2 linked regions of the Rhinolophus ferrumequinum genome follow. The protein of the gene in region 1 interacts with the protein of each later gene in a biochemical or structural test. Links are inferred from orthologs where the notes say so. Each region holds a gene or a part of one and is shown on either strand. Other genes may lie near its edges. The genes, in order: SETD1A and WDR82.

What was found.
Region 2: the proteins of SETD1A (region 1) and WDR82 form a complex in vitro, tested with the Homo sapiens proteins (2 studies listed by BioGRID). The link is inferred for Rhinolophus ferrumequinum from reciprocal best matches to the Homo sapiens genes SETD1A and WDR82.

Annotation. Positions count from the first base shown.
Region 1 is NW_022680357.1:375,335-391,027, forward strand, and holds the start of SETD1A (histone-lysine N-methyltransferase SETD1A), read right to left. Parts: upstream 8,598-15,693; 5' UTR 7,930-8,597; intron 7,885-7,929; exon of another isoform or gene 7,764-7,884; intron 7,670-7,763; exon of another isoform or gene 7,513-7,669; intron 7,187-7,512; 5' UTR 7,172-7,186; coding exon 7,022-7,171; intron 6,806-7,021; coding exon 6,710-6,805; intron 4,967-6,709; coding exon 4,696-4,966; intron 3,612-4,695; coding exon 3,490-3,611; intron 3,277-3,489; coding exon 3,047-3,276; intron 2,771-3,046; coding exon 1,921-2,770; intron 1,769-1,920; coding exon 983-1,768; intron 456-982; coding exon 279-455; intron 185-278; coding exon 97-184; intron 1-96. Other genes in the region: ORAI3 (protein orai-3), read right to left, coding at 10,928-11,584, 14,345-14,572. UniProt on the Homo sapiens protein: Histone methyltransferase that catalyzes methyl group transfer from S-adenosyl-L-methionine to the epsilon-amino group of 'Lys-4' of histone H3 (H3K4) via a non-processive mechanism.
Region 2 is NC_046300.1:47,894,566-47,910,041, reverse strand, and holds the start of WDR82 (WD repeat-containing protein 82), read left to right. Parts: upstream 1-6,864; 5' UTR 6,865-7,191; coding exon 7,192-7,352; intron 7,353-11,576; coding exon 11,577-11,674; intron 11,675-14,552; coding exon 14,553-14,619; intron 14,620-15,476. UniProt on the Homo sapiens protein: Regulatory component of the SET1/COMPASS complex implicated in the tethering of this complex to transcriptional start sites of active genes.

The sequences.
Region 1 (15,693 bases):
GCCTGTGAGACACCTCACCCCTTCACCCGCCTCCTGCTTTCCTCTTGGGGTCTCAGCAGCCTTTGCCTTTCTCCTTCTACCTGACCCGCCACTCACCATCTTCATCTTCCTCAGCTGGGGTGGAAGGTCGGGGCCTCTTCTCCTCACTGGCCTCTGAAATTTCTGAAGGCTCTTTTCGCTTCACCTGACGGACGGGAAGAGACGAGGCCCGCTTAGAGCTCAGACACTCCGGGTTCCCAGCCACCCTCCCCACCGGGCGAGGCCCCGGCTCCGGGCACCTTGAAGGACGGCAGCCGCAGGGCCCCTCGCAGGCCTGTCCCAAAGGCGAAAGCCTCCACGCCGGTGGTCCCCCCGCTCTTCGCCCAGTCTACAAGGGACAGCAGGCCTGGCTCCTTCAGCTTCGTCTTCTCTTTATCCTCCTCCTTGGCTTGCTGTTTGGCTGCATTCTGGAACGGCTGTGGGCACGAGGGGACTGAGCCCAGATCCCCGGCGCTCCCTCCTGCCTCCTGCCAGAACTACAGCCAGGCTCCCGGTGCACAGAACACGCCTCCTGGCTCATCCGCCTGGCGCCCACCCCTGCCGTACCTCTGCTGCACCAGCCCCCAGATAGGCATTTCCTCACAGGTCTGCGAGCTTACAGTCCAGGACCCTGAGGAAATAGTTCCTATCCTCCCCACCCTACAAACGGAGACGCTGCAGATTAAAGCCCAGAGACAGACACTGAAGAGCCTCGTCCACCGCAAGCAGGCATCGGAGCCGGCACAAGGCTCTTCGGGCTCTCGGGCTCATGCTCTTCTGCGGTGCTATGCGCCCCCCGCGACGCTGCCCACCTGGTGTCCCCCAGGTGCCCCGTGTCTGTCCACGTGCCCTCACCGTCCATCCCTTTCTCTATTCTGAGCGGCGTCTCCGAGAGAAGCCCGAGGGCTGTTTCCTCCAGCGGAGCCCCAGCTTGCCCGGGGCAGGCCCTGGCCCTGGCCCTCACCTTGGCCTTTTCCTCCTTGCTCTCCCACCACTGGTCGAACGCGCCGAAGGCCACGTTCTCCACCATCTTGCGGTTGAGGTCTCGCTGCATGATGCTCTTCATCTCCTGGACCAGGGTGGCCAGCACGCGGCCCACGGTGCCGGCCGACGGCAGGGCCTTGCCCTCTGCCAGCTCGGCTTCCTCCCTGGGGGGCAGCCGGGCCTCCTCTCCTGAGACTGAGGACGAGGGCAGGGGCTCGGTGGCCATGGGCAAAGGCAGGTGGTACGCCTCCCGGGAGTAGGCCCCGCGGCCTTCTTGCCCTTGTGTGTACAGGGCGTAGGGTAAGCCATAGGCCGCCTCTTGGGGTGGCGGGAACGGGAGGAAGGCTTCCCCGAAGGCCCCGCCAGGGGGGCCCGTCGAGGCTGCAGCCAGCCCCTTGCCCTGCCGCAGCTGGTGGAGCCGAGTCAGCATCTGGGTCTGCATCTGGAAGGACATGGGCATCCCTCCCCACTGCGCCCCAAGTCGGTCCATGAGCTCCAGGGAGTTCACAAAGTCATAGATGTGGGGGGGTGGCGGTGGAGGCGGCGGGTACTCAGGGGGCGGCGGCCCCTCAGGTCGGGGTGGGAGGAGGTAGGCAGGCTGGTGGGGGGGGTAACCAAGGGGAAGGGAAGCCAGGTAGGGGGGCGGGGGAGGGGGCGGAGGGGGCGGGGGCGGAGGCTGCTGGGGGGGGGTGGGGGCCGGAGGGGGCGAGCCGCCCCTGTCGTCATCGGAGATCTCCATGTCCTCTCCGGAAGAGCATGGAGAAGCCTGGGGATGCAGAGGAGGGTCACAGGAAGCTTCTGCCCGTACCCTGGACTTTCCCGCAAACCCCTGCTTTCTTGCCAGTGCCCTCCCCGCTCCCCTGGGCCTGACCTCACCTCCCTGACCCCGGGCACCTCTGCTGGCTGACCCCACCTCACCTGGCTCTGCCCATTGGCCTTGGGGGACTCCCGGGCAGCCACTGGTTCCCCACTCCCTGCAGGGGCCACGTCCTCAAAGCTGGCTGGAGCTGGAGGGGGGGTGCAGGGCCCGTGACTTGGCCCCGCCGGCACCTCCATCCCCGTGTCTCTGGCCCCAGGGCCCGTGGTGCTGTTTTCTTCCTCTTCCTCTGTGTCAGAGGCCAGGAAAGAAAACTTGGAGCGCTGCTCCTTCAGCAACATCTCAATGCGGGAATCCAGGCTGCTGTGCTGAGCGAAGGGCACACTCTCATTGGTGGTCTCTGGGGCTGGGGAGCCGGAACGGGCAGGTGAGGCTGGGCGGGGGGAGGTCCGGGCTTCTTCTCTCTCAGGGCTGAGCCCCCCAGCGCCGCTGCCTCCACCAGGTTCGGGAGGCTCCGGGGGCGGAGCCTCTGAGGCCGGAGGCCGGTAGTCCTGGTCGGCGGGCCGGCTGGGCTCCGGGGGCAGGTAGGAGGTGTAGGCGGGTGGAAAGCGTTCGGCGGTATTTTCAGCAAAAGGTGCCCCAGGGGCCTCCTCCCGAGTTGCCCGGCGGGGTGGGAAAGAAGGATGGCGTTGGTAGCGATTCCAGCTTTCGTAATATGCTGGGTAGTTTGAGTCTGAACCACGAAAATGAGAGGACGAGGAAGAGGAGGACGAGGAGGAGGACGAGGACAGGGAGGAGGAGGCGGTGGAGGAGGTGGCGGTGGCTGCAGTGGTGACAGAGACGGCGGCAGAGGTGGTCGTGGGGGCCGAAGACGCAGAGAAGTGGCGGCGGGAAAAGGAGTCCTGGTAGCTGTTCTCTGACCGCCGGGGCTTGAAGGAGGCCGACGTGGTGCTGGAGGGAAAGCGCAGGGTGAGTCAGTGGGGCTGGCGGAGCTGTGGCGAAGCCCAGGTTCAGGCCTCAGCACCCAGCGCCCCTCCGCAGCCCCCAGAGGAGACCCACTCGCTGCTGACACCCAGCCAGTGCGAGCCCTGAGAACAGGGATTTGTCGGCTGAATCTAAGAAAAACTAGGACAACTTATTCCCAACTCCTTCTTCGGGACTCTGGGTTTCTTTTTCGCAGCGGCCGCTCCCAGAACCTGGGGGTCCCAGAGGGCAGGCAGTCTGTACCTGCTGGAGTAGGCAGAGTCCTGAGAGTAGGGGGTACTGCCCCGAGACGTGTACGGGGTTCCTTGGGAGGACTGAGGGGTAAACTGGCCAAAGGAAGATGGGGTGTCTTGCCGGCTGCTGGAGAAGCTTGTGTCCTGGGAGCAAGGGGTGCCGTTGCCAGGCGTGCCCACCCCAGCGGTGCCTGCCGGGTAGGCAGCCGTGTCGGAGGAGGACCGGCGGCGGGATTCGGTCTGCAGGGGAGAATGGAGCACGCAGAAACGAACAGTGAGTGCCATTTAACACCTTACCTTTCTCCAAACCAAGAACCCCAGTTCCCTGTCTTTCGAAAGTATCGAGACATCTTTTCTTGGCTCTTCTAATACTTGCAGAACCTCCCGAAGACCGGGCGTCGCACTCAAGCCGCCGCTCACATGGCGAGAGCTATGGCCCCACAGGCTTCTCACCGTCTCGGCGGCTGCACTGGAGCCCTGGAACTTCTCACTCAGGGCCTTGCCCCCTGTGGGCACCGTCTGAGGGGTGTAGGAGCCATTGACTATCAGCTCATAGTACTTCATGCGTTGTTGTCCTGGAGCAAGAAAAACGGGAACCCACAGGGTCAGATGGGGGAAGACAACTCCTTCCGGACTTGGTATTCTCACGTCGTCCTCAGATGTCAAGGTAAGTATCAGGTTTGGGGATTTCAATTCTTCTACCTTCTGTCTCTACCTCCGGGACCTTCTACCTCACCTCCACCTGACAACTACTACAAACGACATGGATTATGACACTTCCGCTTTCTCAAAAGGGGTTAATATACTGGATGACCACGGGGAGGGAAAAGTGTTGGTGCCCCTTCGTTAGAGACTTAAAAGAAAATGGACCTGCACAAAGTCACAAAGTTGGTCAGTGGCAGAACTGGAATTCAAGCCCAGGTCGTCTGGTATGAGGTCCTGTCATACTCTTCATCCTACAAACAACCTAACGGCAGCCTCAGGGCTAAATCCAGCCCACAGCTGTTTTGTTTGCCTTACACAGTCACTTAAAAAAAAAATTTTTTTTTTTTTGGTGGGGGTGGGGACCCAACATTTTAAAACCATGAGATTTCACATAAAAATCTAGACTTCTGGCTTTAAAAAACCGGAATATTTGGCAATATTAGTCCTCATTCCCACTTGCAAATTGGCTGATACCAACTAAGGACTGCCCCCCTGTAGCTGGCACTGCATTACAGCTCGCCATGAGCCCCACCCTCCCTGTTACCCTGACACCGAAGCCTAGAGTTCTTCCCTCACTCGCCTATACAACAGGTCCCTAATTCTCAATCCAAAATTTCAAAACCCCAAAACCTCAACACCCACTATTTTGGGGAATTCAGTGTCACAAGCTGAGCTGAGCTGAGGCTACTTACTAGTTTTCATTCATCCTACCTAGTGTGACCCTTCATCCATTTTCTTACAAGTATAGTCACGTGCTCCCCAAGCCTGCTGGAGATGACACAAAACATTATGTACCACAACACCTCTGTAAGATCCTGATTCCAGAAAGCCACCTGGCTCCAAGAGGCTCAGGTAAGGCTCATCGCGAATCTGATCGCCTGCCTGGCCGCAGCAGCCATCGGGGGCACGGTCTCCGCTGGGGCCCTACCGCGGCGGCGGGCAGGGGAGCCTCACCTTTGATGTCGAGCTGCGCATGGATGATATTGCCCATGACCGAGGTGAGGTGGAGGTTCTTGACCGTCTCCTTGGCTCCCCGCGTGCTGGTGAAGAGCACGCGGGCCAGGCCCAGGTGCTTGCGAGTACGGGGGTGAAGAAGGATCTCTACCTCCTCCACCTCGCCATACTTCCGGCACATATCCTTCAGGAAAGTCTCCCGCACGTTGTCGTTGAGCCTTGCAAAAGTCACTTCCTTCAGCGGGATCTGCCCGATGTAGAACTCATCCAGCTGCGGAGAGGACGAGAGCTCAGTGTGGGGTCTCAGAGCTGACCTCTGTTTCTTTGTCCACTGGGAAACTTAGAGCAAGAGAAACTTAGAGCAAGAGTCAAGAGAAACAGAACTGGGAAACTGAGAGACAAGGGAATAGGAAGGGACTCCATCAAGGGATACATCACTTTTGACCCCTCTCTTCCCTGACCTCTTCTCACCACAGCACAATGGCAAGAACCAGGAAAAGTAATGTACAAACTGAGGAACAAACACACACGGAAGGAACTATTTGTAGAGAAATAATTCACTAACAGCTTTTACGAAGTGATCACCATGGACGGGGCACTAGGAATCCACAGATGGACTGCTGGCCCACCGTCTGGGAACGTCGGCAAGACAGAAAGACACACACAATGCTAACAGGACACAGGACGCGCTGGCAGAGATGCAGACAGAGCGTACAGGAGCCCACAGGAGGAGACCTCTGTTCAGAGTGGGAGGCAGGGAAGATTGCATGGAGATGGTGTCACTCATCCTGGGCGTTTTGGACAAGCAGGAGTTCACCACCAGGACAAGCACTCAGAAGGCACTGGGTAGAAAATAACTTAGCATTTCCTGGAAATTGCAAAGTGTATGGAACACAGGTACGCAGTGGCAAAGGCGGAGGTGTGTCAGTCATATGTATCAATACGCAAGAACACAGACTTGGCAACCGGAGTAAACTCAGAGAATAGTGAAATAAAAAAGACAAAATGACAGCACAGCGGAGCATAAAATGGAGAAAGGAGGCAAGGAAACCAGGTGAAATGAAATGAACACGAGTCTACATTACAGAAATAGCAATGAAGTGGAATTATTAAGGTAAAAATATACGTTTAGGAAAAAGAGTCAGCAGAACTTTGTTACAGATGATGTGATAAATGAAAGGAGAATCACAGAATGGTTCCCGGGTGTCTAACTTGTGCAGCTGAGTAGATGGAAGGGAGAGCAGGATTAAAGGGGGAAAGGGAATTTGCTTTCGAGTCTGAGACGGCCGTGGGGCCTCCAGGTGGAGCTGTCCCACTCCCAGGCACCTATGTCTGGAATTCTAGAGACTGATCTCATCTGGAAACCGAGATTTGGAAGTCATGGACATTTCAGCAATAGTCAAACTCATGGGTGTGAAAGAGATTGTCCAGGCAAAGTGTACGAACTTAAAAAAAGAGGGGTGAGAGAACCCAACACACGATTTACTTACAAACGAAGAAGAAGAAAGAGTTAGTGAAGGAAACTAAGAACCACCAGTTTTCTAAGCCCAGCCTGTGGAGTATCCTGCCTGGTCAGGAAAATGGGAATCTTTGAGGAAACGTGATGGAGGATCCAATGGCCAAATGAAGGGTGAGGCACAGAGGACTCCAGGGATGGGGTTCCTGGCCTTGACAGTCCCCTTAACCGTTGAGAACCTGGGGTATCACACCAGGGCACTGTCAAGCTGTGCACTGTCTAGAATACAGAGTGACAGGGAGAGCAACTGAGCCTGTCTTTATAATATCCTTCAAGAAGTCGACACTCCTGCTTGGGACCCCTCACCTATACCTTTCTAGAATGTGAACCACACCTCCTGTCTAGAACAATCCCCTCACAGCTTCAGACACTGCTAGACCTGGCTGAGACCCTTTCATCGGAAAACTCCCTTTTATTGGCTACAGTACGGCCAGACAGCGAGGACGGACCCCCACCCCCTCCAAAGGCCACCACACCAGGACACCAGCAGACACATACCTTAAATTTAGGGACTGGGAGGGAAAAGTCTCTGTTTTTGGACCTGACGTGGCAACGGGGGTCTTGGAGGTCTTCGACCGGTATATACTTTGAGTCCTAGAAAGGAAAGCAGGGATAGAAAGCACACGATGTGAAACCACATTATGGAGCGCGAAGAAGCCCCTCCGGAGACCCCTCTGCAAGAGCTGGCTGCTGGGTACCCACTTTTTAAGCCAGCAGGTTATGGGCACAGACGTTCTGGGGGCTGCACAGAGCTAACCGGAGAGTGGGGCCGAGTTCCCCGGCTGGCAAGGAGCGGCCCGGGGCACTCACGTTGACACTGAAGTGGACTCCATCGTAGCGGTACACCTTTTGCGAGGGCCTGCGCAGGGCAGGGTCCAAGGCAGGATCCACGATGAGCTTGTAGTTCCTCCACTGGAAGCTCGGGGCCTTCTGCCCATCTCCCCCACCTTCCTGATCCATCTTTGCTCATTTACACTGTGAGGACAGAGGGACACGCAAAGAGGGGGGCGCGGGGTCAGGTCTCAGGCTTGCCTCCCTTGCTGCCCCTCACCGACCAGCCCAGACTCGGGGTCCTCGCATCACCCCAGTTTCCCCACCTCCCCATGACCCGTGGCGGCCCCCGATGTCCCCCCAAGCACACTTTCGCCACGACACCCCATTCTCTCTCCACCTCCCAACTCTCTTCGCGGACCCCAGGCCCATCTCGCGCCCCGGCTCTCCCCAGCGCGCGCCCCACTTGGCCTCGGCGCAAGACCCCTCCCCCGCCCCCTGGCAGGCCCCGCCCCCTCCCGCCTCCTCACCGGCCAGCGGCCCGGGCCAAGCCCGGCTCCCGCTCCCACACACCCGCTCGCGTCCCCGCGCCCCGATCCTCCAGCCAAGAGGTGGCACCTATTCGGGGCGTTGGAAACACCGCGAGACCGAGCCCGAGCCCCGGCTTCGGCCCCGAATCGGAGCAGGGAGGTGGCAGGAACGCGCGCCGCTGCCCTCTCCTCCCGCCCCGGCGCTTTCTGCCCCCCCCATCTCCGCGCACGCGCGGCGCGGCCCCACTCACCCGCTCGTGTCGAGCGGCTCCCCCTCCCCCCACCCCGCGCAGCACCTTAGTGGCGCGAGGCGGCGGCTGCGGCGGCAGCGCGAGACCCGGCCCCGCAGCGGTGGCGGCGGCGGCGGCGCCCCCCCACCACCACCTCCCCGGCGCGCGCACCAAACACCACCGCCACCTGCGCGAGGCCCAGCGGGCACAGTGTCCACATTCGCACTTTCGCCACGGGCGCCACCGGGAGACCCACGGTGCCGAGGATAGCGGTTTCGCCTCGGCCGGCGCCCTGTAAGGGTCGAGAATTGCGGCCCAGGGAGCCTGGAGACGGGCCGCATCCCCCGGAGAGTGGGTTTCTCCACGGCTATCCAGCTGCTCGGGCCTGGGGTCGTTGACGAATCGGCGGCGACGAAAGCAGCGACTAATCCCTGAGGAAAAGGGGGCGGGGCGGAGGGGAGGAGGCCAGCCCGAGTCGGGGAGAGGAGTGGTGCGTTGAACGGGCGCAGATTCGTCAGGCGGGCGGGGCGAATGGGTGGACGGGACGCGCGCTCTTTCGCTCCTCTTGCCTGCCCCTTCCTTGCGCGGCCAAAAGTCTAAGAGGCTGCAGATTCGCCACAGGTCCCGGCCCCAGCTGTTTCCTCCCTTTCCCCGCCTTGGTGGAGTCAAGAAAAGAATGCCTGGTTAGCCAAGCCCTGTTGGCAAGAGTCGGCCACTTTTTATGGATCTTTCTCACTAGCACAGCTCGGGGAACTGCCCAGTTCCGACCCGGGGGAGATAAATACGGCCCAAAGCTCCTCTCCGAGTCCCATGAGAATTTTCGGTCGAGCCCAGAGGCCTGAGTAATTCTGAGGAACCGGCCTAGCGAATCTGCGAATTCTCCTGTGGGCGGAGCCAAGGCGTCGTGCGCAGAGGGCGTGGTCAGAGCGTACCGAGGCCGGCGTCGCGGGGGCGCTTCCTGTAGGACCCACCGAAACGGGGCGGGGTGGGAGGGGCTCCCGGGAGGTGAAAAAATACAACGAACGGCGGTGACTCAGGCCGTTTCCCTGGCGCCTCGCGTAATGCAGGGAGCGGTTTCCTCCCGTTATCCCTCTTGGGCCTCTCGCAGTTTAACGTGCCCACTTGACAGATGGGGAGACTGAGGCCTGCAGAAGGTGCCACATTTTCCCCTGCTCGGCTCACCGTTGGTGCTTAAATCCGAGGCTGTCTTAAAGTTCTGTGGTAAACTTGGTGCGACCTAAAGGCCCTTAAGTGGGTCCTGTAAGAATTAAACTAGGTTTTACGGGAACTAGGGTGGGCTTGTCGACTCTCCAGGCATCACGGTCCCAGTGCCCGCCGTTTTCAGCCGGTGGTGGTGGTGGGGGGGGTGCCTATGCTTACGCGGTCCCGCCGCTGGAGGGCAGCACCAGCACAAGCTTACACCGGGGATCCGGGGCTAAGCCCGCCCTGACGCTGGTCACCCTCTCTTGGATGCAGGGTGTCCCGTCTCCAGATAATGGCATTCCCAGGAGGCACCTCTGCCCTAAGACCCAGACATCTCTATATACAGCTCTTGCTGTATGACTTCTCAAAGCTTCAGAGTCTTCCTCTGAAATGGACATTAATCCCCGTCACGCAGGACTACCGCAGGTATCAGAACAGCACAGGAAAAGCCCCAGAAGCCTGGTGCATGCAAATTCACCATTTTAAGTAACAGGAAAAGAGCAAAGGAGACTTGTTCTCAAGACCTCACACCCTAAGAATGGAAGAGAGAGGATTGGGACGCTTTAAATATTTGAGGGAAACGAAGCTGGAAACAATTCATTTACGTGGAAGCACGTGTGATGAGATCATATCCCTTTTTCTTGTCCCAGTGGAAAGGTAGGGGCTCCTTTTCTCAAATCAGAGATTCCCCATGTGAGGGTCAAAGTAGTCCTAGTTTTCACTGACTGGCTGTGTGGCTCTGGGCACAAGCCTGAGTCTCGGGCCTCAGCGTCCTTACCTTGGAAATGGAAACAAGAAAGACGTCTCGCGATGGAGGTGAGGTCTCAAGGAGATAACCTAAAAGCTCCTCATAGGTAGCAGTCACTCAAGAAAGAAACTTATACTAAATCCTCAGTGGAAGAGAGAGCACCTGGGCTCGGGAACCAGCGTGCCAAAGCCCTTTGCCTTGGAATAACTCAGTCTCCACCTGCAGAAGCTACCGGCCCGTCAGCACCAGGAAGGGTTCACACCTGGAACCCACTCTCCCCCAGCCGTGCCCCGCCCCCAGGTACACTGGCCTCTGCTGGGCTTTTGGGAACAAGTCGCCCGATCCCAAGAGACCTCCCCTTCACCCCACTCAGAGCCACAGGGACATCTGTGAAATACAATTTATTATACAAAACAAGGTGCATCAAAAATTCAGTGTCAGGATACCAAAGGCTCGGGAGGGGCTGGACCTTCTCCTTTAAAACCTCACCCCAACCCTTGATAAGGCAGTCAGTCTGGGGCTCACAGGCCCTCGGTCTCCAAAGACCCCCGTGCCCTCCACCCCCAATCCTGGCACAGAAGAGTGAGAACCAGTTATAGAAGCATCCAGTGTGGGTCTAGGGAAGTTGGACAGGCGCTTGAACCTCCAAAAACAGGGAGGCTCCTTCTAGGAGAGGCTGGACCTATGCCAGGGCAGAAACGCCCAAACCCCTCTCTACAGCAGCTACAGCAAGAGTGTGGAACCCATCAAAATCTGGGGATGGGAAAAAGCTTCCCAATAAATGGTAACCACAAAATAGATTCTACAAAAATAATAAAAGCCAGGGTTTGCTGCCTTCTGGGCAGCTGGGAGGGTGTGTCCTATACCGGACTGCTACGTCTTGTATAGGGGCAAGAAGTAGCTAAGGGTCAGCACCAAAGGTCTGACCAGGGTCTCCCTGCCTCCCCTCCACCTATCCCAGGAGCCTGGACTGAGCACTTTTCACTCGCTCCTCCAAGCCAGTATAGAGCAGAACTTACAAAGCCCATGGAGCAAGCTGACAGGGAGAATCCCTTGGAATGTGGGAGCTGCTCCAAGGCCCCGCCCACAGGACCCTGCTGGCAGGAATCTGGTCTCTACCTGAGAGTGGCCTCAGGAAGTGGCTCCAGGCAGAGTCAGGGCAGCGGTCGGCAGACCTGGGATCTGTGGTTGAACCCGGAGGGAGGCAGTGTTTGTAGAGGTGGCCATACCAGCCTCACACAGCCTGCAGCTCCCCCTGCAGGCGACTCAGCTCCTCTAGCTCCTGCATGTGGCGGTCTGTCTTGTGTGCCACCAGGGAGCGGTAGAAATGCAGAGCAAAAGCCACAAACACAAGCCCTACGGGTACCATGATTGCTGTGGAGGCCATGGCTGCTTGCCAGCCTGGTCCATGGGCCCCGCCGCCACAGACCTGCCGGGGTGGGCAGGCCTCAGACGTCTCAGCCTGTGGCGGGGTCACAGGAGCAGAGGATGGCTTGGAAGCGGGACTAAGGGAGGTGGCCACGGGTGGCAGAGTCCCAGGCACGTGGGAGGGTGGTACCACGGGGGCAGGCGTGCCCACGGGGGCCCCAATGGGCACGAACTTGACCCAGCCCACCAGGACAACTTCAGCAAGGAAGAGGAAGGTGCCCAGGGCAGTGGAGAAGCCCCAGGCCAGCTCCACATAGCGGTGGAGTCGCTGGTGTGGAGACTGGTGGACAGAGTTGAGGTTGTGGATGTTGCTGACAGCTTCAATGTGGGGCAGCAGACACGTGGAGACCATGAGGGCAAAGAGGTGAACCGCCACCAGCACAGTGGTGCAGGCACTGAAGGCCACCAGCAGGCCTGGCGGGTATTGGTAGTTGTTCTCCAGCTGTACCTCCACCATGGCCACCTGTGGGGACAAGAGACCACGGACTCAGCGCTCGTAACCTTCTCCACATAGTGGGATCTGCCTGCTGGCGCATATCCCTTACGTGGCCTTAGGCCCTAGAATGGTGGCTGGCGGGAGGAAACAAGGCTCCCAGCCTTTGTTGAGTGCCTGAAGGGGCAGCCTTGGCAAGGCTCTGGCCTGTTCTGGGTCTGGGTTCTCCCACCGAGCTATCAAGAGGGCTGGGTGACATGTTTCTGACGATCTTACCTCGTTACCACACACGGGTTAAAAAGCACAGGTTCTGGAGCTAGGCTGCCTGGGTCCCTTCTCAGGTCCACAAGCGGTGTTGTGTTGAGCAAGTGACTTAGTTCTCTCTCTGTGCATCAGTTTCCTCCTCTGGAAAATGGGGATTAATACCAGTACCTACCTGCCTTACAGGGTCGTTGTGAAAACTGACTGATGGTATATACATCAAGTTATCAGAATAGTGCAAGGCACGAGTCAGCACTAGGTGTTTCGGTGATTATTGGAGCCAGTGCCGAAGTGCAAGGCCAGAGTTTGCAAACTGGCACGCTATGAATTCAAGCCAGCTTGCAGACATGTTTTTCTTGGCTCATCCAGTGTGTTTCTTAAAGAATTAAGTTGCCAACTTTTAAAACTCAAGAGATTTCATATAAATATTCCTATTTCCAGATCCTCCAGAAAATCTGACAGACCTGGTTACACCAGGCCCATATTCCGGCGTGGACACTAGCAGCTAGAGTTGAGTCACAGCTGCTGCCTTGGGACAGGTCACATATATCCTCAGGCCCCACACAGCCAACTTGGTATCCATATTACAGGCCTGGCCCTTGCAAACATTTGATGATCCTGTTCTAAACTTGTATAAATTTGGACTCTAGAACCAGACTGCTTAAGTTCCAATACTGCCACTTACTTGCTGTGGGACCCTGGGCAGGTGTCTTAACATCTCTGATCCTGCTTTCTCACCTGTAAAATGGCCATAGTAACGGTACCTACTTCATTCGATAATAGAAAGATGATAAACACAGAAGCACTACCAGCCTGATACTTAGTGACAGTTTAGTACTATTTTTGTATGTTATTCTAACCCAGGCCACCGGGATTCCAGAATCTGGATATTACCCCAGCCTCGTTCTTGTGGGATCCATTAGATTGCTCCGGGCTGAGGGAAGGAGGAAGGTGCAGAGTCTGGAGAGTGGTAGTAGGAAGACAAGTCTGAGTATTTTGGGAAATTGGGCCATGACGGGTGTTAGCAGGTGTCTTCCACAAACGGATCTGGGCCAGGCCGTCCTGGTGTCTCCTATAGCCTGACCCAGCCACACTCTCCCCTGGCAGGACTGGAGCCGATCCTGCCCCCAGAACGTTCCCATCTGGCCTCTCGATCCTGCAGAGAAGATCCTGACCCTTAAGCTGTGACCCCAGCAACACCCAAGTCCAGCAGCAGGCCAGGCTGTCACCACGGGAACAGATGGACCACAAGGTTTTGGAGGTGAAGGTCCACGGGACTGCTTCCCTCCCTCTGCGGTCTGTACTCCCTGTCCCTAGATGACCACATCAGGAAGCGTGGACTGGCCTGTGGACCCCGGGCCCCCACACAGAAAACCATGGACCTAGGATAACCGTGAGAGGTAGAGACTTTCCTTTTCATCATTTCAGGTACAGAGGCCGGGACCCAGAGAGGGGCAGGGACGAACCAAACCACCTAGTGCTATGACCCTTCTATTCTCATCTCCAATTGATCCCAGCAGCCTAGTCCTATGAGGACCTCCCCCCACCCCACCAGCCGCTGCCTCTGTCCTGTCATGGTGGTGGGGAAACCCTGGACGAACAGTCCAGTGACCCTGGGTCCTAGTTTATTCTATATCCTTCACCTACTGAGTGCTCTTGGCAGACCCACTGTCCCGTCCTGGGCCTTGGCCTCCATGCCTGTCCAATTAACAGGTAGTTGGCGCCATCTTTGATGTGTGTCTTGCTCTAACATGCTGGGATGTAGGATTTGATGACAACAATCGGCTCATCCTGTGGCAGGTACTTGGCAGGCTACAGAGGGCACACCCTCCAGCATCTCACCTTTTCCCACTGACCTGCGGAGTGCTGGCCTGTCCAGGGTGACACCGCTGGCCACAAGCAGGAAAGAGCCAGGACTTGCGTCTGTTGACTCCTCACCCGGAGGCCAACCTCAGTACCACCTTCTAGGAGGCCTCCACTGGGACCGTTAGCTGATAGCATCGTCCCACACCCCCAGTGTTATCAGCTTCCTCATCAGCTTCTTTACCCAGAGGCTCCCTCACAGCCATTCTCTCTTCGCAAAGCTTCCCTAGGCTACACTGAGCACCCTTTGCACCTGCTGGGGCCAGCCCTCCTCGGGATGCGCCCACCTTGTTGGGTGGCCACTCCAAGTTTATTCTTTGACTCCACCCCCTTCCTGCCCGGTTTCTACAGCCTCCACCCAGCTCTGATTTGCCTCTGAACTCTCTTGGGGATCCGGTCATCACTCCTGCCTGGACTACGCTTTCGGACTCTGTGACCCATCCTTGCGCATGTATACGCCTCAGTGCTACCTTTGGTACTTGTTTATCGTCCCTGTGGCCCAGCTCATGCCACGGGTGTTCACACACACCCCCACCCATTAGAAAGGGACTTGTGCCGCCCATTGGGACCCCGTTTGCTCTCCTCTTTCCCCGTCGCCCTCCTCCAGTGGGTACCCGTTCACTGTGCCCACGACCCCCGCGCTGTGCGTGCCTTCCCTCCCCTCACCATGGCGAAGCCCGAGAGCAGGGCAGACGTGCGGCTGGAGGCTTTGAGCTTGGCCCGGCTGAGGTAAAGGCGGCGCCAGCTGAGCGCCCGCAGGGAGTGCTGACTGGCCCCCATGAGGTCCAAGTAGCCGCGGTGCACGAACTCTCCGTACGTGGCCGAGCCCGCGGGGCTCTCGGCCTCCGGGTTCAGCGGGGCCTGTTCGCCCGTGTCCCCCTCGCCGCCCTTCATGCTGGGGGCCGCGGCGCCAGACTGCAGAGCGGTCACGGCGGGGCCAGGTCGCCTCGGAGTCTGCAGGAGGGCCGGCCCGGGCCGGGGGGCGGCCCCATCCCCCGGTGGGGCGAGCAGAGATGCGCAGGCGGGCTCCCAGAGAAAGGAGGCCCGGGGCGGAGGAGCGGCTGGCGTCTACTGGGAGCCCGAGGGACCGCAACAGGACAGCACAGGCCGAAACAGGAACTGGGGCGGAGGCGGAGCCGGTGGCCACATGATGGGGTGGAGCCGGGGGGTCTGTCCGCAGAGCTCCCGAGGGACCCCGCGACCCTAGACTTAGCATGTCATCCAGACGCCAGAGCCCCGCTGCCGTGAACGGCCGGCCCCAGCCCGTGACCCGGAGTTCCCGGGCCCCGCACCTTTCCAGCACACTTGGCCACCTAACCCCTACCTAAGTTGTGAACTCGGGGAAGGCGAGCCTGTTCGACTGTGGGGATCCCGGGGGACCCTGCATGCTCGGCTCCAGGAAGCCGTCAGGCCCAGACTCCCAGATCCATCCAAACAGCCCCTCCTCCGAGAGCCCCAAAGGGTGACCACTGCGGTCATCCCCTCCCTACCCCAACGCCCCCGACGCCGTAAACAGACACACAAACTCGGCAGCCCCAGCTGGAAGATTTTGAGTTTTATAGCAAACCGTATTGTACAGATCCGGGGCCCAGCCCGGCTGGGTCCCCCATTCGTCCCCCGCCGGGCTGCCTCCTCTCCCTCCCCCAAGCGGCCTCATCCTCAAGCCTTACGCGATCCCCAGGACCCCCTCCCCTCGGCCTTTGGTCCGCCCAGTCCCTCCCCCCACCCGCGCACCTCCCTGTTACCTGAGGTATGTGGATTCCCCCCTCCCCTACATGGTACAACCCAGCTCCCACCCTGGCCGGGGCTGAGGGGCGGGCCCTGGCTTCCCAAACCCCGCCCCGCCCCGGAGGCAGGGGCAGGGACGGGCCAGGAGAGTTACTAAGTTCCCATGGCAACCAAGAGGGGCCATTTCCAGCCTTAGTACTGGCTTTGGGACGTGTCCATTGGCTGCTATTTCCATGGCAACCAGGAGTGGCAGTTCCCTGGGAAAATGGGATACAAATTTCCACGAC
Region 2 (15,476 bases), on another chromosome or scaffold:
CCTGGAGTTTTAGGATATGGCTGTTTTTTGTTTATCCCACCAGGGACCCCCCCTATCTACCTAGCAATCATACTAACTAAACTGTCTTACTTGTTTGTACTTTAGTTTTTCTGCAATGGACATGTATTTACTTGTGTGAAAAACTAAGTGAATATGTGAAATGATGATTTAAGAGTTTAGTAACATGGGGTAGCTGGATGGCTCAGTTGATTAGAGCGCCAACTCTGAGCTCTTAACAACAAGGTTGCAGTTTCTGAGGTTTGATTCCCACCATGGGATGGTGGGCTGCACCCCCTGCAACTAAGATTGAAAACGGCGACTACACTTGGAATTGAGCTGCGTCCTCTACAACTAGATTGAAGGACAATGACTTGACTTGGAGCTGATGGGTCCTAGAAAAAACAGACTCTTCCACAATATTCTGCCCCCCCCCAAAAAAAAAGTTTAGTAACATGGACAAATAAAAAATTAAGTCTGATGCTCTTTAAGGCAACCTGATTCACTTCTGACTGCAATCTTTCCCTTCCATCCACTCCCTCCACTGGAGCCAGCCTTTCTGGGTTACTTTTTAAAGTCCAGCCTTTAAGGCACTGTTGGACTGGAAGCTAGGAGTCTCACTATAACAGGGCAGGGAGCCAGGTTAGGAATGTGAAACAGAGAGAATGTGAAACAGGCTGAATCATTTCAGGACACTCTTAAAATATGAAAAAATGACTTTTTCCATTCCAAAAATAATTCAGGAAGTCAAGTCTTGGAAGAGAGCTTTGGTCTTACTAGTAAAATCTGGGAAAGTTACAGGAAGTACAAAACATGAAAGATACCCTGCAAAGATTTCTTTTGGCTGAAAACATTCAGTAGGTTATGGCTGTTTCTGTGGTTATTTTTTAGGTTAAAAGGGTCCAAAATACGGTATCTCACTGGGTGTTTCACTTTCCAACATTTCCAGGACACGGTACCCTCTGTCCTTGTTGCCGTCTAACTATTCAAAGCAGCCTTTCTAGCTTGTAAATTAAAAAAGCAGGAATTGCAGGGAAGTGAGTGTTCTGGAAAGTTGCCATCCACTTGGGTTTCACTCAGGCTTTTTCCAAACCCCAGAACAAATTGTAGCCAGAAGCTCTGCTCTTTGTCAGCAGGCAAATTGCAACCCAGACTTAGCCAGGATCTTGCCCTCTCCCCTCAGAGGACAACTTTTCTTTTTAAAAAAAATTTTTATAAGAGCTTATTTGAGTCAAACTGACGACATATGCCAGGGAGTGAGATCTCAAATGCTCCAGAGAATAAGTTTTGCAGCTTTTTTTTATACATTTGAAATTAAGGAGGGAATGCAAGGAAGATTACATGGAGTTGGGGGAAAAAGCAAGGCAGGGATTGGATTACAGGACAGTTAACAAGATTATGTGCTCTCTTGAGGGTGGTTATAGCTTATTTTAAAGATGTGTTAACCTAAATGCACAAAAACAATGGACAGAGCTTGCTTAAGGCAAAGAGAATACTTTAACTAAAAAGTTATATGCCTGGGGCGTGACTACCTCCCACGACCTGACCAGTTAGGAATTTATGATCAGATCACCCTGTGAGGTTACTTTCCATAGAACCCCTTATTTTTCATCCATTTTGATCATAAATCAATCTGAAGGACGCATTGATGACCAACCTTTTGGTCGGATAGTGTGGTCTCACAGTGCTAGGAAGTCTCATTCCTAGGAGTTCTCTGTATTGAGTTTGTCTTGACCACTGGGGATGGGGCAATACTGTAACCATAGGATCTGAGCTGAATTTTCCCCAAACAGGAAGGGCAGGTAAATGGAAGGCAGTCAGGTCTTATGGCCTTTATTATGAAGCACTGTATCATTTCTATCCAGTGAACTATCATGATCTGAGGTTTGCCTCTGTCTCATTTTTCTGTTTTTGGCATCTACTATAATAACATTTATATAAGCCATAAAAAGAATATTAACAAGTTACCTTATACATGTTTAGTAATCATAAACATTGTACTATATAGAAAAACCCAAAGAATAAGTCTAACTATTATTATGACTAATATCATTAGCAGACAAGTAAAGACAATCAAACAAAATGGATTCTGAGTTTAGGATCAATCCATAGGTATAAGCTATCCCATGTCTTCTGGATAGCTTTCTATCTCTGATGTCATCAACTTCTCACCCTAGAGGAAGGAGTTTTTGATGTTTGTAGACAGGGGTAGATGTCCATTCATAGTTATAGGGTCTCCAGTGAGGTTGGAAAGTGTCTTTTATTTGGTGTCCTTTCCAATAAACAATATCTAAAGACATGTCTCCTGTGAGTTCGCTGTGAAGGAAGTGGTTACCAACTTGACATTTTCTTGAGTGACTCTGTCAGACCTTGGTAATAGTGTAAGATGTCTCCTTTCAATTATGTCAGCTCATAATTCCTTCATCTAAATCCAGCTTCAGTCCACTGTGATGCATGAAGAAATGTAAAAACTGAAAAATGTAGAGCCAAGGTACAGGGAAGAACCAAGTGGCCATCTCAGGTTTCCCAAAGCCCTGATTAATCATTTAATTTACAGGCTTTGTTTACCCATACACTATACTCTAGAAGTTTACCTACATATATTGAGATTTTTAACCCTTAAAAACTTAATGTCTAATAAAAACTAAGAAGTAATCAATTAGCATTCTTTAGCTTGGACATTTTATAATCTCTAGAAATATTTTTCACAGACATAAAGGTCAATTATTAACATGGACATGTTTTTGTAAAACCCAGGCAAAATAGAGACATGTCTGTTTTTCTTAAACCAATAAACTTAAGCTAGCTTTTATTCACTAATAATTAATGTTAGATCATGTGAACTTGAAAATCATATGAGTTAGTTTCTATATTTCTGAGAATTTTAGATACCCAATTCTTATAAGTGCTTGCCTTTAAATTAATTTAAACAATACCATCTGGAGGTAGAAAATTATCTCTCATTTATAACATACATATATAGACATATACAAACAGACACAAACAGAGACTAGTTGGATACAATTTTTGTTTTGGAGGTATTTACAATTTACAATTTACAATGACCTTCCCCCTTTTAAAAGACAGCCATTTTGAATACTTCAAAGAATTGGGTTGACACCAAAACGACATCATGGGTTAACCCATTTTTCTAAATTCTCTTTTTGAAGCTTTGAGAGACCAATTAAATTCTGCTTAATTTTGTAGCTGGCTTTTTCTAATTGTGTTCACAAAAGATTAATTTAGAAGTATCAAAAGATCCTCATCTTGGCCATCTTAGTTATAAATAGGAGGCTAACTGTGGTGGGCCGTGTTGGCCTGGGAGGCATGATTTTGCATATTAATGTTGAGATCTGTAGAATCTGAACAAACTTCTAGGGAAAACCAGCCCTTCCATGCACATCTGCAGATAAGCCACATGCCATAGATATCCCTATAGGACTGCTTCACGCCCTAGAGGAAAATTTTCCTTAGACAACCCCATGGAGATTCTTAGTCACCTAAGAATACCTGTGCAAGGGCCAGTGAGAGCTTAGCAGATGCCACCAGAACCCTGATGCTTTCCTAGGCATGAACCCCTCTCCTGGGCCTCTCTCTTGGGATGCACTTGTTCCAGGGTGCCCTTTTCTTCTCCCTGGGGCTCCTCCCAGCTTCTCTGCGATTATCTATAGTACCGTACCGCACTGGATGACTCAGGAACCCCTCTCTACCACTCCAGATTTGGGGATCTGAACAACTATCATCATCCCATTGGCTATTCCGGTTGGGGAAGCAAGTGTCCTTTCTCTCGGAGCTAGACAGTTCAGTCTCTCATTTACCCAGCAAGATTTTGTCACAGACTCTCAGTAAGCAATCTAATTAAAAAGTCGAGATTAAAAGCAGCAACTCACTTTTCTCCTTTCCCTGGGTTATCTCAACCCTTATCCACCTCTAAGAATTTCTAAGAACAGCTCAAATAAAGTAGTGGCCTGCTCCTTAAAGCAAGGAAGCCCACAATTCTGAGAGAAACTCACCCAAGTTCACCAGAAGTGAAGCAGGGAACTGGTGGGCACAATGGGCCCTAGCTAGGGTCCACAGAGTGATTCTGGGTGGGCTTCTTTGGAATCCTGCCATACTGTGCCAAGTAAGTGTTGATGTAAAGAAATGTCCAAATCTGTAGAGAATTTTTATAAGAAAGAGTTTATTTGAGCCAAATTGACAACATATGCCAGGGAGCAAGATCTCAAATGCTTCCAATAACTTGTTTTTATGTGTAGGGATCTTTACCTTTTCTTTACCCAGAGGATGGGACACAGCCTTAGTTCTTTCTGGAGGGACCCCACCTGTCCCAGGGTTTTTGTTTTGTTTTTAGCATTGTCCAGATTATATCTGGATCTCTGGATAGCACATCTTCATAATATCAGTGATTAAAATGTTTCACAGTCTTTCCTCTTTATTTTTCTTCCTCTTTAGCCACTGCAATTTAGTGAAACAAAGTAAATAGGCTCCATCTCCATTGTTGGAGGTCCCAGGCCATTAAACTTTTGAGAAGCTGCAGCACAAGTTAGAGATCTATGAACTCTCATGGGTTGCACCGAGTTTAACTCCTTGCACAGAAGGTTAAAGCCAGGGTTCGTGGTACCTATTTTGTGATTAGATATCGCTTTCTTTTGTTAGGGATCAACTTTCCTTCCTTTAAGGCAAATAAATCCCTTCTTAGGAACCATTGAAACAATTTCGTTGACTACAAAGAGGGTAATGAAACTGTTCTATACCTTGAATGTGGTAGTGATTGCACAACTGTATATGACTGTTAGAACTATTGATTAAAAAGGCCAATTTTTACTCTACATAAATTATACCTCGAACATGGAAAAATGTGGTCTATACAATACTAAAAAAGGGGAAAGTGGTTTATGTAGATATATAAATAAGGAGGGAGAACTCAGGAGAATTTAAAACTGTATTTTGTTGAATGAGGAGACAATTCTCCCTCTTAAAAATTTCTTTGTAATTGATGCTGAATTTTGGAGCTGTAAATACATTTGAAAACTTAGATGAGTGTTTATAAAAATGTGTGGAACACTTAAAATTTGTTCACTGTATGCACTTTATGTTATGTATCAATTAAAATTTTAAAAGAAGGCTTGAAGTTCTGCCTGGTGGTCACATCGGTGTACAAGGTGTGATTAAAAAATACAGTGAAGGTTTATTTTTTAAAATATTTTTAAAAGTTCTTTTTCTTTTTATTTATTTTTTGAATGTTTAAATTTAAAAAATTTATTATGGTAAAAGACATTGCCATTACTCCTCCTCAAAATACTCTCCCTTACTTCGAACACACTTATCCCATCATTCTTGCATTTTCTGAAGCAGTTCTGGAAGTCCTCTTTCGTGACTGTCTTTAGTTGCGCTGTCGTGGCTGCCTCGATGGACTGAATTGATTAAAAAATGTTTTCCTTTCATGGTCATCTTGACTTTGGGGAAGAGCCAGAAGTTGTACAGTGCCAGATCCGGTGAATAAGGTGGATGAGGACACACTGCAATGTTTTTGACAGAAATTGCCGTATACCAGAAGCGATGTGTGACATGGAGTGTTGTCATGATGGACAATGAAGTAAAGACACTCAGGAATAAGGACTTCCAGAACTGTTTCAGAAAGTGGCAAGAACGATGGGATCAGTGTATTCGAAGTGAGGGTGGTTATTTTGAGGGGGACTAATGGCAATGTGTCTTTTACTGTAATACATTTTTTTATTTAAATATTCACCATATCTTTTAATTACACCACATATATCCAAATGAAAAAAATTCATCCACTAAAAATTTTTGCTGTCTACTGTATATTATATACCAATAAAAAATACAGAAATTGAAAGTATGTTGACTCTGTCATGATGTGTAGAGCATTATGACTCTGATAGTTGTCAGTCACAAAGTGACAGTCATGCCAGAGCGTCACATGAAAGGTGTACCCAGTGAAGGCCCTAACCAGATAACTCCAGATGCAGGATGGAGTGTGACCACCTGGACCATTTTATCTGACTGCAGATAGCTTTATTGGACTGCAGATGGGTGCACTGCACCCAGTCTTGAGCATAAAAACAGAGGCTCTCTGACAGCTCATCGCTCAGGCCTTAACAGCTGACAGCTTCATCTGCACTCCTCCCAGATAGACCGTTTGAAGTCTTCGCTCCTGACCATCTCACAAGCCCGGCCTGACGCGGAGGCTCTGCACTTCAGCACCGCAGGGACTCTCACTGAGCAGGACTCTTCCTCATCCTTCTTTTGTAAGACTCTGTTCACCTCGCCTAACCTTATTGTTTGCAAACCAGTGTGACCCTCTTTTGTGAAATCACCCTACCTTTACTATTGGAGGCTATCCTTTGGCTAGAGCCTTGGTTAATGCCCGTGGTAAACCGACTAGGTAGGATTAGATCCATGACTAGATCCATTCTAATAAAGCCTGACATTGTGGGGAGACACAAACTGATATGAGACTGCTACTTTGATAGTCACCTCCCGCTCAGGACATGTGGATTTGCGGCGAAAGCCTGCCTGCTTGCCAGCTGATGGGTTCACTGACTGACCCCTGGAGGGGCTTGGCGGATCCCCGCAGGACCTGCTTCCTGGTAAAATGCGGATGGGGCCTCTGCAGAGGACGCGCCCGAGTCTCCAGTGGGGCTGCTAACCGCACAAAGGCCCACGGCTCCCAGGCACCAGCGGTCTTCCCGCCCACGGAGGAGGTCGTGGACATCCCCACCCCCCTCCTCCCCACAGCCAGCGGCCATCCCGCCACTGCACTCCACGCCGCCGTGCTGACGTCATCGCCCCGCCTCCCCGCCTCGCGCCGCCGTTCCCGCTCCGCCCTCTTTCCCGGCTTGCGCCGCGATGCGGCTCCTCGCCCTAGGCTCCTGCTTGTCGCCCCAAGATGGCGGACACAATGAGCGGGCGTCGCTTGGGTTGTCCCTGAGGCGACTGTGAGGAGGATCGGTAGGCAAGGCCTCGCAGTCAGGCAGAAGAACATTGCACGAGCCGTAGGAGGGAGAGGAGGAGGCGGCCTGATTGTCGGCCGCCTTCCAGCTCGTCGCCGGCGCGGCGCCCGCCCCGCCCGGGTGGGCCCTTCGGCAGCCCGCCCGTTCGTTCGCCCGCCCGTTCGCCGCGGGGCCCCGCCCCAGCCCTGCTCCGCCGCTGCTGCTGCCAGCAGCTGCCGCCATGAAGCTGACCGACAGCGTGCTGCGGAGCTTCCGCGTCGCCAAGGTGTTCCGCGAGAACTCGGACAAGATTAACTGCTTCGACTTCAGCCCGAACGGCGAGACGGTCATCTCGAGCAGCGACGACGACTCCATCGTGCTCTATGACTGCCAGGAGGGCAAGTGAGTGCGGCGGTGGCCCAGGGCCCGGGTCTGAGTCCCTCCCTCCCTCTCGTGGTTCGCCCCGCGGCCAGCTCCCCTCCCCGACTCCGGCCCCCCGCCGATTTTGTGCTCGCTCCTGCCAAGGCCGCTTCCACTCTTCCACTCCAGAGATGTCCAGGAGACCTTTTTTTTTTAAAAAAAAAAAAAACAAACAACTAATGATAGCATTAATATTTTGTGTGTCTTTGGTCTCTGAGAGCACTTCTGCATCTTTTGCCCAACTCCACCTTGACCTTGACCTTTAAGCGCCCGACCCGCCCACCCTGGCCCCAGCTGGTAGCTTTTCCACCGCTCGGACTCCAAAAGGTGCGGATCGGCTTTGCCCTCCGCGGAGAACCTCAGAGGCTGCTCTCCTGCTTCATCAAACGGCGTCAGCTTGCTCTCTGTGCCTTCTCCTCGGTGACCTCGATTCAGCCCTGGCACTCCGCCCAACCCCTGCCCCTTTGCTTCCCGCGGTCTTTCTGCCGGAAGGCCGCGTGGGTTGCAGTTCTTAGCTGTCAGGATTTATTTGTTGTGCCTCTTTGGGTCCCGTGTCCTTTCCTTTCTGTTTCAAATCATGCTCTTCCTCCCTCAGACCCATTGCCCACGCTTATTGTGAACTTTGTAGCAACATCTGAAACTTTTCCTTTTTGCCAGACACGACCGAACTTGGCTCGACCTGAATGTGAACCTCCCATTAGAACAAAGAAAGCATCGTATAACAATTTCATGTTTCCTCTTATGTTTAAAGAAAAAAAAACACTTTAATTCCAAGTCTAGTCTGACCGTGAAATTTCTGCGTTGCCCCAAGTGCTGGATACCCACCACACCTGCATCTCTGCAAAATCTTACAAGCACAGTATTTTCCCTTTTCCCCTGGGGACCATGTCAGCTTCACCTCACACTTACTGCCTCCACGTCCTTGCTAAATTGTGAGCTCCTTCGGAGCAGAAGCTGGATTAAGCTAAATTTTATTTCCTCTCAGTCACCTTCCCCGAACAGGTTTGCAGATGTTTGATGTAACTCGGTGGCTACTGGTTTTGTCAGATTTCATTTTGTTGCCTTGATCCACATCTTATTTTTGGAATCTGGGTTTTTCTCTACTTTCTCCAGTTCTTTTGCCTGAAAAACAAAAAACAAAACTGGTGTCTTCTGTAAACTTCTTTTGGGACTTGTCTCTTCGTTTGTAAGTTTGGTTATCCAAAGTAATGCTGTTTTGGTCTGAGCTATAGTGTTCTCCCCAGTTTTTCCCCCACTGGGGCTATGAAAGAGTATTACGTAACTGGCTCTGCATCTGCCTGCAGTATGTGGAAGAATGGCCCATAGTGGTGGTCCTGGGGGGAGAGAGGGTTGTCAGCTGGACCTATGCTGAGTTATTTGAGTTAGTGTTACTCATTTAGTATTTGGATTTCCTTGTCTGGCCACTTGAATCAGCTTGGAAGAGAGAATAAGGTACAAAGCTGGGGGTGCGGGGTCGTTGTGGGGTCCTGGAGCTAGAAGTAACTTGAAGCTGGCTTACTTGAAATGTTTAGTGCTTGTGCACAGATTGGAACCTTTCCCTGAAATCTGAGGATGGAGGTGTATATCCTCATTCAAAGGAAATAAAGGTGGTGATAGCATTTCTTCATAGTTTGTCTCCTAATTTCAACTTGTTGCAAGGGATGACAGTGACTTGAAGTCCTGTCTTGTTAAAAGTAAAATGTTAATTTTATGATATAATGCAGTTTATTCACTTACATAGCATTTTTACATAATTACAAACTTAAGAGTTACAGCAGTGTTTCAAAGAACTCCCATATGATCCAGTAATTGGCTACATTGCCCCCTTTGACTTTTTCTCTATATATGTATTTATATGTATGCATTTTTTTTCTGAACCATTAGAGAGTAGATTGGATGTATCAAGCCCCTTTATCCCTAAACACAGATTCCGGTGACATGGTTTTCCTAAACACATAAGGACATTCTCTTATATAACCAGAGCACAGTTATGCAAATTAGGAAATTTAATATTGATAAAATAGTATAGGGCATGCTTTTAAAATTTTTTTCTTATCAATTGTGGACTTGTTTCATTGTGATCTGTGATGGGAGAGTGGTTTGGTAGGAGACCTGAGTTCTAGTTTGTCCTTGTGACCAGGTACCGTGTTTCCCTGAAAATAAGACCTACCCAGACAATCAGCTCTAATGCGACTTTTGGAGCAAAAATTAATATAAGGCCTGGTATTGTATTATATTAAATTATATTATACCCGGTGTGTTATAGTAAAATAAGACCAGGTCTTATATTAATTTTTGCTCCAAAAGTCGCATTAGAGCTGATTGTCTGGCTAGGTCTTATTTTCCGGGAAACACGGTATGTCACTGGTCAGATCACTTCTCTGGATATTAGATGACCTCTTTTAGCCTTTAGGAGTCCATGATCCTAAATGGTAATAAGAAAACATTTGCCACTAGTGTAGGTCAAACTAACATTGGAAGAAAAGTAATGTTGCCTTGTAAGGCATAATACCTTTATTAGATGGTACTAATGTTAACATTATATTATAGCTAAAACAATGTTCTTTATGCTTGATATTTTCTAATTTACTGTTCATTTAAACTTATAATGGAGTTTATCCATTGAGTGATTTTTTTTCAACTTGAAAGAATATGAATCTGTGGTAGGTGATGTGAATTATTCAAAGGAAGGCTTTAATATTATTTATTTATTCATAATTGATCACCAGAATCATAATAAGTGGAGAGAAGCTTACCAAAATATTTGTGAAAAAATGTTCCTGGGCTTTGTAAAGATCACCTGAAATGGACGTAATACATTAGGATATTGCTTTCAAAGTAGGAAATGATAAGAGGTAAAATATTTCTGTTAAGAACAAATCTCAGGTTAGTGTTATTGATAAATTCGAGACAAATAGGCCACAGAAAAATTTTCCCTTACTCCACACGCTTTAACGTTGGCTCTTTAGGCTCTGTTTTCATAGTTGTAGATAGACTGAAATACTGGGATAAGTAAGCTTTTCTTTCCACCGGTAGAGGCAAAGTCAGCTTATCTTTTGAGAGCAAGAACATGTGCACATGCTCATACTCACTCCCTCCTTCCCTCCCTCACTCACTGGTTAGTTTTACTACACAGTAACCCCAATGCGGAACCTGGGACAGTGGACTAAACAAGGTAGCCTTTGAGCTGATCTTTCTAGCTGATTTTTCAGTATGGTAAGGATGTGGAACATTCAGTGCATTTGGAAGGAGAAGTCTTGTTTGGAAATAAGTTTTATGTAGGGAAACCCTTAGCCTCACTGACATTAACAAAAATTGAAACTGCAAACGATTGACTTCATAAAGCTGCCTGAGGCATCTATCTCATTGTTTAGCATCTAGGTTCCAAGAGGATTTTGCATTGACAGGGTGAACGTCTTTTTCATAAATTGGAATTCTTGGTAAACATTGGTACAGGATTTATGAAATCCTCCTACGCTGAAATGTAGAACATTGTAAGTTTTTGAGTATGGTTTCAGCTTCATCTTCAAGCTTCTATAGAAGAAGACATTTAAGGAGCTTCAATGAATGGATTGACATTCTCTAGATGGGAAATGTGTAATTTTACATTAAAATAAAAAGAAAACTGATGACTATTTTGCTAGGGATAGTTAAGCTTGCCTTTCCAAAGGCTCGGTAAGTGCTTTGGACCTTTAGGACAGGGAGGATGGATAGCTTCTGCAACAGGTTATATATATTAGGAAGTTTTGCATCAGGTTTCAGTTTTGATGAATTATTTCTTCTTGAACAAAGAACCTAATAATTGAGTGGCTTAAGAAAAAGTTCCGGCCTTATTGGTTTGACGTTTTTCCATATCCCCCTTTGTTATGTTATGACTTAATGTTGTTTTCTGTGCCTTTCTTACCAATAGATGTACCTTTTTGCAAAGCTTACTTTTGAACATTGGAATAAAAAGACTGAACAGAGTCCTCAGATTTACTTCCACTTCCTAACCTTGGCATTTGGCATTCAGAGCTGAAAGTTGTTGCACTTGATTGATTCTGTTTGTTCCCTTTTGGAAGAAATTTTGTTTCTTTCCAGTTTTATAGCTTACCAGGAGTCCTCACCCTTACCACATCATTCAAGGGCTTCTCTCTTTATTAAGATCCCAGATTTTGGTGATGGAGGATTTTAATGGTTTTCTTTCTCTATCCATTTCCTCACCAGACCAAAGAGAACCCTGTACAGTAAGAAATATGGCGTGGACCTCATCAGATACACTCATGCAGCAAACACAGTCGTTTACAGCTCTAACAAAATAGACGGTAAGCGAGCCTTCTTTTTAGGAAGTTATGGCTATGGTTTCCTTTGTTAAATAGTTCGCGGATTGTTTGTGACTACATCTATTTTGTTTATACTGTGTTTCCCCAAAAATAAGACCGGGTCTTATATTAATTTTTGCTCCATTAGGGCTTATTTTCAGGGGCTGTCTTATGTTTCCATGTATAGCAACCTACATTTATTCAAATACAGTCATATCATCTTCTAGAACATCGTCATAACGTATTAAATGCATCCATCTAGCTGAGATCTTAACTGAGTCTTATTTTTGGGTAGGTCTTATTTTTGGGGTAGATCTTATTTTTGGGGGAAACACGGTAGTTTAAGTATTTTCCTCTGATGTTAGCAACGCTAATAACATTGTTATGACGAAGAGATGCTGGAAACAAGCCACTAGTGTTTTGAAGGGCTTGAAACAGTATGAAAGAGTAGAAAGTGGGAATAGGAAGTAACAAATTGTATTTATGGTTTGTACTTCTTGAAACTTGAAAGAATTCTTTTAGAACAAAAGGAAAGAATAGTTGACACACAGCAAGGGTAAACAACAGTACTTCCTGTTCAAAATATAGAGATCTCAGAAAAGTTTTCACAAATGTGAGCTATGATAATTTAGGGCATCTTAGAAGAGTTTTTGGTGTATGCCCAACCTTGTACGGTCTGAGTCATAAAGGATAGTGTACTGACTTTGGTTATCTTTGATTCTGGGCATATTTTTTGATCTGAATTTTATCCTTTTCCCCTTTACTTTTAAATAAAGCTAACGTCTTTGAAGGTTAAAGAATTATTTGTAGAAATTAAACTTGTGAGTTTCTTTCTCTAATAAATGGCCTCTGTTTTTACTTGCATTTCGCCTGGGAGAAATCATTTTCACTTGACAGATCATCTTGGTAATTGAGCAGTAACACTCACTTTCATGTTAGGACTTTTTTTTCCATTTAACTTACTGATTTATTGACCCCCCCCACCCCCCACACACACTTTTTGTAGTAAGATTTTTCTAATGTCATTCAACAGACTGTTTAGACTGCTATTTTAGCTATGCCTATCTCAGAGCAGGTGGGCAGGTCTTTTTTTTTTTTTTTTTTTTGACTTTTTCTGCCTGTACTTGACTTTTAGTAAGTATATTTCTACTTTCCATGACTTTATTTCAGAAGTGGTGTTCTAAGTAAGCGTGCATTTGATGCTTTTGGATAAGAATATAAAACATTAGAATCCAGAGGAAACATCTCTGACCTCTGCATGACTGGTATATTTCTTCTGTTGGGGTGTTTTTCTGGGTGGTTAAATGAGGATTGTCCAAATGGGGTGCACGATGAGGCAAATGTGTGGCACTTGCAGCTTTGCTGCCAGGCCTCTGCTGTGAGGATGTGGCCCTTCCTGTCTCGAGTGCATCCTGAAGAGTTCTCCAACGCTTCGTTTCCTTTTGCCTGATTCCAGGCTGAGGTAGTAGTTTGTACAGTTTGAGGGTCTATGATACCACCCGGTACAGGAGATAACTGTACAGGCCACTGCCTTGCCAGGAACAGCGCGCCAGCTACCGAGTGGGGCGGAGAGGATGGCGACGCCCTGCTCATCTCTGGGAAACCAGGTAATGGGAGGAAGCCTTTTTCTGCTTAGGGCAGGTGAGTAGTTCCTAGCAGTAGAATAACCAGGAAGACTTTGTAGCTGTCATTCGAGAACTTGGAAGATGTTTCCAAGGAAAACCATGTAGAAGTCAGTTTTGGAACATAGAAAGAGGAGCCTTTTCCCTCTCAGGTTACATGCCCTCTTATTAGAAAGTACCCCTGTGACCCACTGGGATGACTTGGTGCTTTCAGCCTCTTTGTTCCTGTGTCCTGTTTGCCTCCAAGAATGTTCTTTCTGTGCTTTCCTTTCTGCATTTTGGCACCATTTCCTATTAACCTCTTTCTGCACAACTGTTCCTTATTCATAGTCTTTCGGGGCATAGTACTCTCCAGTTCTAGTCTTCATGGTACTTCATTCCCTTCCCATCATCATTTTTTTTTGTTTGTTTACTTTTTCAGATAGAATCATTTGATTTTTAAGAGTGTCTTATTTTACCCAAACACAAATCTCAATGATTATTCCTTTCTTTGATATTGTCAAAAGTCTCACTGCTATGACTTGGTATAGTTCATGAGTTTGGTTTTGAAATGTCTTGAGATCTTTTAATCTCAATTTTCTCACTTCTTTTGACTACATTATTATTATTATTCTTTTTAACTCACTTCTCTGGTACAAGGGACAAGTGGATAGTTGGCTAATTAGAAAAGAAGCAGTAGGACATTACTTCTCTCCATTTTGTTTAGTTTTAATGTAAATTGTATATCCAGTTAACATTCAGGTGAGGTTAGGGGTGCATCCACACAGTGTTAGAGAACTCTAGACAGAAATATTATGCCCGAGTCCAGCCTGATCCTCAGCTTGGCACGGCTGCTTAATTCTTTGAGTCTGTATCCTCAGCAGCCAGATGTTTTTCTTTAAGGCTTGCCATTCTGTGGGCACTGAAACTATTGTGGTTTTAGGGGGGGGGTGTGAGGTAGGGAGTGACAGGGTATATTTACAGAACAAGTTGCATTGTAACTACTTGTATGCAGAAGCCAAAGATTGGTAGTAACAATGATTTTAAACATTGCTCTATATGCTGTCAACTTAAGAACTGTGCTTTTGAATTATGTCATATCTGTAGTGCCCACTCTTCAGCTGTGGATAGGAATTATGCCCAGTATTTATTCACACCTTGCTTGGGTTATGGAAAACAATGAATTCTTCGACTTTGTCTTTTCAAGATGAAAATGCAAAGTAAATTCCTTTAAAAATAGTAGGCTATGATACCATCATACCTTATTTGTCTTCTTCCAGATACTATTCGGTACCTGTCCTTGCATGACAACAAATACATCAGATACTTTCCTGGACATAGCAAAAGGTAAGACCCAAGTGTTGCAGAAGTAGATTCTTCTTTTATCCAAACAATAGAAGAATGGAAAGATTTTTATCAGCGAACTAAAGCCGGTTCTTCACTGCTGTTGGGCATTCCTCTTAGGCTTCTCTTGTTAAGCCCCGCTGAACGGTCACCTCTCGGTTAACTGAGGCTGTGGAGGCAGGGGGAGGATTTCATAGAGAAACCGAAATCTTAGTTAAAACATACTTAGGAATAAGGTAGATTCAAGATACTCAGTGGAAACCTATGTAGTAAAAATTACACTTGGCATTTAGGAACCCCAAATATCATATATCCTTTAATGAAAGGGTCATTTACATATATGAAACCTTCTAGCATTGGTGGCCCCCATTTTAGCAGGCCCCTGCTCTACATGGACTATGAGAAGATCTTAAGGAGGATGCAAAAAAAAAATTAATAATTGTCCTTTGTTACTTTTGAAAGCCAAGGATCTTGTTTCCTCATTCTATTTTGTAATGCAGGTTGCTTCTCTCTCCTACCCCAACTGCCCCAGTATTTTTTCTCATTTTTTTAAGTTTTGGTTGAATGTTAAACACTTTTTCCCTTGGATGATACTTTAATCATGGGGGAAGGGGTTATTTCCTCCTGCTTTCACTTGCAAACGTATGAAAACCAGCTTGGAGTGGTTGAGCACTCTGGCAGGAGGTTGGCCAACAGCACTGTTTTCTGGCCCACTTCTGATTGGGCAGGGCATTTCTATGTTGGTGAAGATAAGAGGTGGCAGCTGTTGGTTACTGTGCAGTTCCCAGAAAGAATGGCTTGTGACAGGTAGATGTTTTGCTTGTTTATAATCAAATTAGTGTTCACAGATGTACTGTCTG